Linked DNA regions of Drosophila melanogaster. The protein of the gene in region 1 interacts with the protein of each later gene in a pairwise test. Each region holds a gene or a part of one and is shown on either strand. Other genes may lie near its edges.

Region 1 (4,287 bases):
GCTCCCTTGAAGGAAACCAGTCCCATGCTGCCCCTGCGACCAGAAGCCGGAGCAAGTGGAGGCGCAGGAGGATCCGCTCAGTCGGTGGCCAAGGCAATCGACAAAACAGTGCAGGACTTCGATGCCAAGTTCACCTCCTCCTTGGTGGCAAAGGCCTCTAGCACACTGGCCCATTCGGAGCCCCATATGGAGACGCTGAAGAAGAGCGATTCTGCCCAGGAGGAGCAGGAACACGATACTTGCGATCAGCGGCTGGCGGGCAGTGGAGACCTGGACCTGCCATCCTTGGCGCCCTTGGAGTTGCCCTCCTTCGATTACAGCCTGTTCACCAGCTCCTCGGCTCCTTCGTTGGCCAGCTATGCCGGCATGGCTGAGAGCTTCCAGAAATAGGCCTGGTTAAGATCCATTTGTAAAACTTCAACTAATTTGAAAGATCTCGTGGTAATGCAGTGCCCGCTGAGTGGTGATTAGGATTTAATTTTAGGCACGTTCTTCATTTCAACGTTTTGTGCAGTTCCCTTTGTGAAGTGTATTTGGGAATTCTCTAAATAAATTAAATTAGGTTAATTCACAATAATAATAATAATAATAATACTTTGTGTATTACAATCTAAGTCGTTTATTTGGCCATCAGACCCTTCAGCAGATCATCCATGTCGGTTTCGGTGTCGACATTCTTGAGCAGAAGCAGCACCTGTGCCTCCATCTCGCAGAGGATATCTGGTTTCTGGTAGGTAATGATCAGCGTGTTGAACTGGTGGTGGACAGAGAGGCTCTCCTGCGCGGGCTTGACCCCACAGCGGTCCAGTTCCGGGACCGGGATGACCTTGTAGTACTTCTTGTTCGAGGTGCGCACGACTATGGCACGCTTCTCGGGATCGGCGGTTACGCTGTATGTGTCCAGGGAGTAGGGCATGTTGCGGATGCGCCACTCAATGTTCTTCTTGGTGATCCGCTTGGTCAGCAGTGGCGCGGTGTTGCTCTCCCGCAGGGTGAAATCTCCGCCGGCCAGGGAGTCCGTTTCCTCGCCAGATCCTGGTGGCTTGTTGCCCGACCAGTTTAACTGACGCGGCTCATCGCCCAGCTCGATTTCCCACTCCGACTCGCCCATGATCTTGTTGCTCTTCGATTTCCAGGCCCGCCGCTGCACGATTCCCGTGTCCATGTTGTACTCCTCGGCCATTTGCCTGCCGTCCGGGAATTTGTAGAGCACCTTGCGGGCGCGGCCACTTATCATGGAGTTCTTCTCCGCCGCCTGCAGGTAGTTTAGCCAGTTCTGGTAGGACATCTCTGGGGATTGATGGGATTACCTAGGCACACGTCTCCGCCGGAGATTCGAATATAACAACTGAACGGGGCAGAAAATTTGATCGATGGCGCAAAGTTGAAAATTTGTTGAGAAGCACATTGCGATGGAAACCTGGCAACCCAGCTGCCAGCTTGTTTACATCGCAAGCCGGGTTACCAAGGCACTTTAAAGCATTACATACAATACCTTATGATCGATTTGTCTTGTAATATTTGGAGGTAATGGTTAATTTTAATGCAAAATACGTACTAATTCTTGCCATTTTTTTTACTTACTAATAAAATGATTTTGAAATTCGAATATTTTCCATGAATTCAGCTTTTTTCTGGCTACCCAATTTACAGTTGATTCCAGCGCGCGAGTTGGCAGCCCCGTGCGTACACAAAAAAACAGAGTTGACGTGGCCGGCGCAGTGACTACATAAAATATACGCATATTTCATCACGGCAGCGATTTAATTATTGCTATTTAAAGTAAGCAGCCAGTCACTCCGGCCGTAGTTTATAAATAGCCACTAGACCGTCCGTCCCGAATCCGTAGACTTAGCAGCTAATTTGGACGCATTTCTGCTTACAGGCGGCAGTCGAAAAAAGCGAAAATCCAAGAAGCGAAAATCGAACGAAAAAGGGAATTAATAAAACATTAAAAATGAGTTTGGTGTGGACTTTGATCGCCGGATTTCTCTATGCGGAAATCGCACTGGTCCTTCTGCTGGTGCTGCCGGTGCTCACTCCTTACCGCTGGAACCGGTTCTTCAAGTCCAAATTCCTATCGATGTTGGGACAACAGGCGCACATATATTTCCTGCTGATCATGGGAATTCTGGTCATTTTCCTCCTGGAGGCCATTCGCGAGATGCGCAAGTACTCCGGCTTGCAGCAGTCTAACGAGGTCCACTTGAACGTGGAGATGCAGCACAGCATGAAGCTGTTCCGTGCCCAGCGGAACTTCTACATCTCTGGATTCGCCATTTTCCTTGCCCTGGTCATCCGGCGACTGGTAAACTTGATCTGCACCCAGGCCAATCTCATGGCCCAGAGCGAGGCTTCCTTCAAGCAGGCACAGAGCGCCACTGCAGCCGCACGTTCCTTGCTGGAGAACAAGAACACCGAGAAGGCCAAGGAAGCCGGCGAGGATACCACTCTCATCGAGGTGAGTCCACGTCCCAAACCCCTGCATCCGATCCCCAGGAATGGCATGTCTAGAGAGCTAACACCTAAGACTTTGGAGTTCAATTGGCTACTACCAGCTGTAAAGATATGGCAATGCATATAGAAGGTGTGGTCAAAATATGGCGAGATAATGTCTTTAGCCGACTAAATCTATAAAATCTATACTTCATTCCACTTTCTGGTACATTTTCTCAATTGGTTTTGAATATAAGATACGAAAAGGCTTTAAATGTAGTCTATTAACGATATAGAACTTTAAATACCAGTATATATCATGATTAAAATCTTAAACGTAAACTTAAATCAGTTTGAAGACCGAGTGAATTTGTCATAGGCTTAGTGCTTTTGTTTTGACCGCAGCTAAACGTTTTGAAACCACACCCAAACACATATGTTGGGCCACGATAAACAGAAGCCACCACTCGAAAGTTTAAACCTCTTGTTAACTCTTTAAACAGCTGTCAAGACTGCGGAGACGTGTGCAAGGACTCACCGCCCGAGTGTCCTAAGTATCCCCACCTAGAGCACCCACCTTATATCCATTCCCAAACACCCAAAACGAACAAAAATCCAATCGAAACTCAAACGAAATCCGAATTTTGCAGCTCAACAAGCTGCGCGAGCGCGTCCAGGAGCTAACCTCCGACTTGAATCGCGAAAAGAAGGACAAGGAGGCGGTTAAGTCGCAGGCGGAGAGCATCAACCGCGAGTACGACCGACTCACCGAGGAGTACAGCAAGCTGCAGAAGAAGATAACCATCGGCGGAGGCGGAAACAAGGATGATTAAACTCACTGGAGCCAAGTCCAACATTTAAATAACGATAAGACTTATAAGCATGGCGGTGGGGCAGCGAAAGCAGGCACATTTAAAAGATTATAACGATTTCAAATCGATAGAAAGCACACACATCTTATTGTTAATCCTCATAGATACAACTACATATACCATTTGATAATGATAATGGGGTATATTGATAATGGTCCCTCAACTCAATGTTCGTTTCGTCCGAAGTTTTGTATTTAATTCGTATGTGTTAAGTTTTGTTTGCCACAGTAACACACCCAAAAAGCGTCGTGGCTATTAAAAGAACAACCAAAAAGTACCCATCCAGTTGTGATCGATTCGATGATTCATCTGTTGGCGCGGATAGTCCACATCATGTCTGATAGTACACGGCAATGACGTCAGACGTCGCAACCTGTTTGCATACTTGGAGCTTAGAAATCGGAGGCGTTACATTATCGGTGTGCGAAAAGGGCATCGAATATGTTTCCTTGATAATTACCCAGAAATGCTAATCAAATTCGCATATTTAGTGATCTATCGTGGTTTTGCAGTGCATACTTTAATCTTAACTTGAACAGAGATCATCCTACATAAATTTGCTGTTCAATAAACTGCATTAAAATGCTTACTCCCACCAGAAGCTTACAGAGAAGCTAGGAGCTTCAGATCTCACATAGTGCCACCATTTGGGTGGCATGTACAAACAGTCACCAGGTTGCAGGAGCAGCTGGTAGAACTTCACCTTGGCTACCAAGGGATATGTTTCAGGATCCAGTTGAGCAGCATCTATTCGCGCTGTATTGGCCAAAAACTCACTGTCGTGGGGATACAGATTGTCTGTGTCTGCAGGAGCAGCTAGGATGATCCTCTTCGAACCGAATACCTGGCACAGCAAGTTGTGCTTGGGATCGTAGTGCATGGGAGATACGGTTCCAGCTGGTCCCAGCCAGGCTTTGATGTCCACAGCTCCTGGGGTATCTTCGTTGCTGATGGTGCAGTAGTCGGGAATGGATATATC
Region 2 (3,549 bases), on another chromosome or scaffold:
CTAATTGAATTTTCAATATTTATTGCCTGGCCAGGACACATAGCGTACATACCACTACCGAATGCCTGCAGCCGAGTGAAAATGCCCCTCGATGGGCAGAGAATTTATGTGCTGACATTACAATGGACGCAATATGGCAGGGATTTGAGGCGTTTATTGATTCAGGCAGCACTCCAAGTCGAAGTCGGCATCGAAGGCATCGATTGGCCAGGACGAGGATGGGCCATGCAACAGTTTCGGGCCATGTGCCCTGGACAAAGATCCACCGAACCACACACTGGCCGTCAGGGGCGATTATGCATATACATATACATATATATGAGTCTGCCTACCGGCAACCGATGGCAGGGTGCTCCCATTCTTATTTTCAGCAATGCGGCACTAAATTTAGCAAATAAAAGCTCACCCGGCTCGTTCTTTGGCAGCCAGAAAGCGAGCCACTGCCAGGGGCATCGAAGCGGAGATACCCTGTACCGGACACCTAATAGTTCCTACACAAACTTTTCTCTATGTGCACTCCATCAAACATCTGGTGCCTTCTTGTTCACTAGCTCGCAGCAGCGCACGTGATACCCTGTAATTCGAAACCAGGAAGCATCCGCCTTGGACTTACGCAAATTCCCAGTGGTCCGCTGGTGGCTCGGCTCTCATTTTTGCATTTTTCTTCGGAAAAGTCCGCGCGCTGGAAAAGTCAACACAAGTTCACCTCTCCAAATTCGTGCGTGGGTGTGGGCGGAAGGTGGTGGTAGGTGGATGGTGGGCGGGAGTGGGTGGTTGGCGATTCGAGAGGGGGCGGTGCGTGGGTGGGTTTATTTTTAGCGCTGCTGCGACGGAAACGCGACAAGTCGGAGATTCTGCTTCCGCAATGTTGTTGTTTTTGCAGCCGTTATTATTAACAAATATTACGCTATCCACGGGCTCTTCTTCTTGCTTGTTTGCGTTGACAAATCTCGTTGCGCTTTCACAATCACATCAAATCGTGGGAAAACTGGTTTTCCCCCCGTTTCTGAGCGGTTCACTCTTCGGTTCGTGATCGTTTGTGTCCGCGGGCAATGGAAAGTCTTTGTTTTTCACACGCGTTTATCACAACAGTAAATAAAATATCACTTTAGCCAGTTTAATCAACTCGGAGAGCAGAACTTTTAACCGTGAGAAATAACCGCATACTGAAGTGGCCAAAATCTGGGAAATCGCCATGGAGGAACTCGCGGAAAATACCAAATCCATGGCATGCAAGCTTTATTATCAGTGGCGTAGAAGAGGGGCCTTATCTGATTAATCCTCGCTCTATAATTTTGAACCGCTTGCCATTTTTAAGGGCTCAGGATAATGAGATTTGTTATTCTTCCAGATTAATGTCATTAAATTAAAATCTTATGTTTCCCCCTTATGTTTATAAGAGTAATCGCAAATATTCAATGAAGAAAAGAATATTTTATTTTATTGAACTGCCGAAATCAACAAATTAAACGAATGTAATTAATTTAAATTTTAAATTATAACACCCAAAAAGTGTGATTCCCCGAAAATATCAGTTATTATACAACGTTATTTCGGAATTTGTAGAGGTATTTTCTGGCGCTCCCGCTGCGGTCACACTGAACACGAGTTTCGTTTCGGAGATTGAAAGAAATGGAGATTGACTTGGGATTTGCGGAAAAGAGCGACAATGGCGCCTGGCTGAGCAACCGCTACTTTCCCAGCAAGCTGGGAGGCCAGCCCGCATGGCTGGAACTGGAGGCCTTGCCGCCCACGTCGCAGCTGCAGTGCAGCAAGTGCAGGGCACCCAAATCCTTCCTGGCTCAGCTATACGCTCCCTTCGAAGACGAGTACAACTTTCATCGGTCCATCTATGTGTTCCTGTGCCGGAATTCCGACTGCCAGGAGGCCCAAAATGCAAGGTAATCCCTTCTAGCTCTGAAAACCAACTTGCAACCTAATCTTACCCATCTTTCCAGCAATTTCACAGTCCTCAGGTCACAGTTGCCGCGAAAAAATAAGTTCTTTTCGGAGGAGGAGCCGAGCGACGTGGGTCAACCCCTGGTAGGAACAGCAGCCATATTTTCAGAACATACTCATCATAATATGTTTTCTTAGCCCGCCGTTCCCTGCCTAAAGAAACTATGCGCCGCCTGCGGTTGCCATGCTCCTCACGCCTGCAGCAAATGCAAGGCAATCCACTACTGCTCACCAGAGCATCAAAGGGCCCACTGGCCACAACACAAGCCAAACTGCGGAGCACCAGAAGTAGCCACTGAGAAGCCCTTAACACAAATCGTTTTCCCAGAATTTGAGATTGTAATGGACAGCAACCCCGTGGAGTCTGGCGAGGAGGACAAGGACGATGAGGCTCGCTTGGCGGAGTTCCAGGAGCTGGAGTCCAGCGGGAAGACGGGCGACTTGAGCAATGTTTCCGAGGCGGAGATGGACAAGTACTTCGGAAACTCGGCGGCCGCCGATGACAAGACCTTTCGTCAGTTCAAAAAGCAAACAGCAGCCGAACCCGATCAGATCGTGCGCTACAAACGTGGAGGCCAGCCCCTCTGGATCACGAATACCGTCAAAACGGTGGAGGACCAACTTAACAAGCTGCCCAATTGCATTGCTTGCGGAGGAGAGCGTCAGTTCGAATTTCAGATTATGCCGCAAGCGCTGACTCTTCTGGAGGACGAAAACCTCGACTGGGGCGTCCTGGCCGTCTACACTTGCGCCAAAAGCTGCCCCATCGACGGCTACGTGGAGGAGCTTCTCATCAAGCAGGACATTGTGGCGGAGGATCAGAGTTGACATTAAAATGCGTACATTTAAATTTTATTCTTGTCAATTACGAAACACGTGAACATTTACTTCAGCTTGATGATGGGGAAGTAGCTGTGTTTGGAGAAGTCGAACTCTGGCTGCCGCTTGACTTCCTTCTGGTGACCGCGAGCCAGCACATTCATCACCACAAAGTTAGTCCGTGCGATTTGCAGGAGGTCCAGCATCTGAAATTAAACGAAACGCATTTTAATCCAGGAAAACCAATTCAGAACTACCATTGACTTACCTCCTGATCTGGGTTTTGAATGCTTTCGAGAACATTGCGGGCCTGGTCAAAGTGCTTGGCCGCATAGGTATATAGATCCTCGACGCTATGTCGCATCATGTGCTCCCGGACGTTTTTGAACTCTGCGTACGAAACTGGCGGAGGACTGGTGAGTGTGGCGAAGGGCAGGAAGCGTCGGTTGTAGCGGATCTCCTCGTTGTCGAACTTGGACAGCGGCAGTCGCACGCGTCCGTCTTTGGTCAGGGCGCCCATTGCTTTATACATTCCGCCGCAGAGGCTGAGTAGCGCGTGGTAGAAGACGATCTCGGCGCGGTACGGCCTTTGAGTCTTTTTGTTCTTTTTCGGCTTGGCCGCCTTGCGGTTTTTAGCCGCTCCGCTGCCGCCCGACTGGGTCTTACTTTGGTGCTCGGCGTACTCCTCCTGGGCCAGGAGGATGTTCTCCGTGCGCGTCAGCGCGGAGACCAGGAAGCCAATGAGGAACTCGTATGGATACCAGTAGATGT

The links.
Region 2: the proteins of CG13887 (region 1) and Zfrp8 interact in a two-hybrid assay, tested with the Drosophila melanogaster proteins (one large-scale study listed by BioGRID).

The regions. Positions count from the first base shown.
Region 1 is NT_037436.4:836,164-840,450, forward strand, and holds CG13887 (uncharacterized protein), read left to right. Parts: upstream 1-1,697; 5' UTR 1,698-1,957; coding exon 1,958-2,461; intron 2,462-2,939; coding exon of another isoform or gene 2,940-2,990; exon of another isoform or gene 2,991-3,086; coding exon 3,087-3,269; 3' UTR 3,270-3,768; downstream 3,769-4,287. Other genes in the region: CG42554 (uncharacterized protein), read left to right, coding at 1-390; CG13901 (uncharacterized protein), read right to left, coding at 620-1,288; JMJD5 (jumonji domain containing 5), read right to left, coding at 3,895-4,287.
Region 2 is NT_033778.4:24,132,384-24,135,932, forward strand, and holds Zfrp8 (zinc finger protein RP-8), read left to right. Parts: upstream 1-1,605; 5' UTR 1,606-1,632; coding exon 1,633-1,901; intron 1,902-1,958; coding exon 1,959-2,043; intron 2,044-2,097; coding exon 2,098-2,787; 3' UTR 2,788-2,843; coding exon of another isoform or gene 2,844-2,984; 3' UTR 2,985-3,022; downstream 3,023-3,549. Other genes in the region: Naa35 (N(alpha)-acetyltransferase 35), read right to left, coding at 2,844-2,984, 3,047-3,549.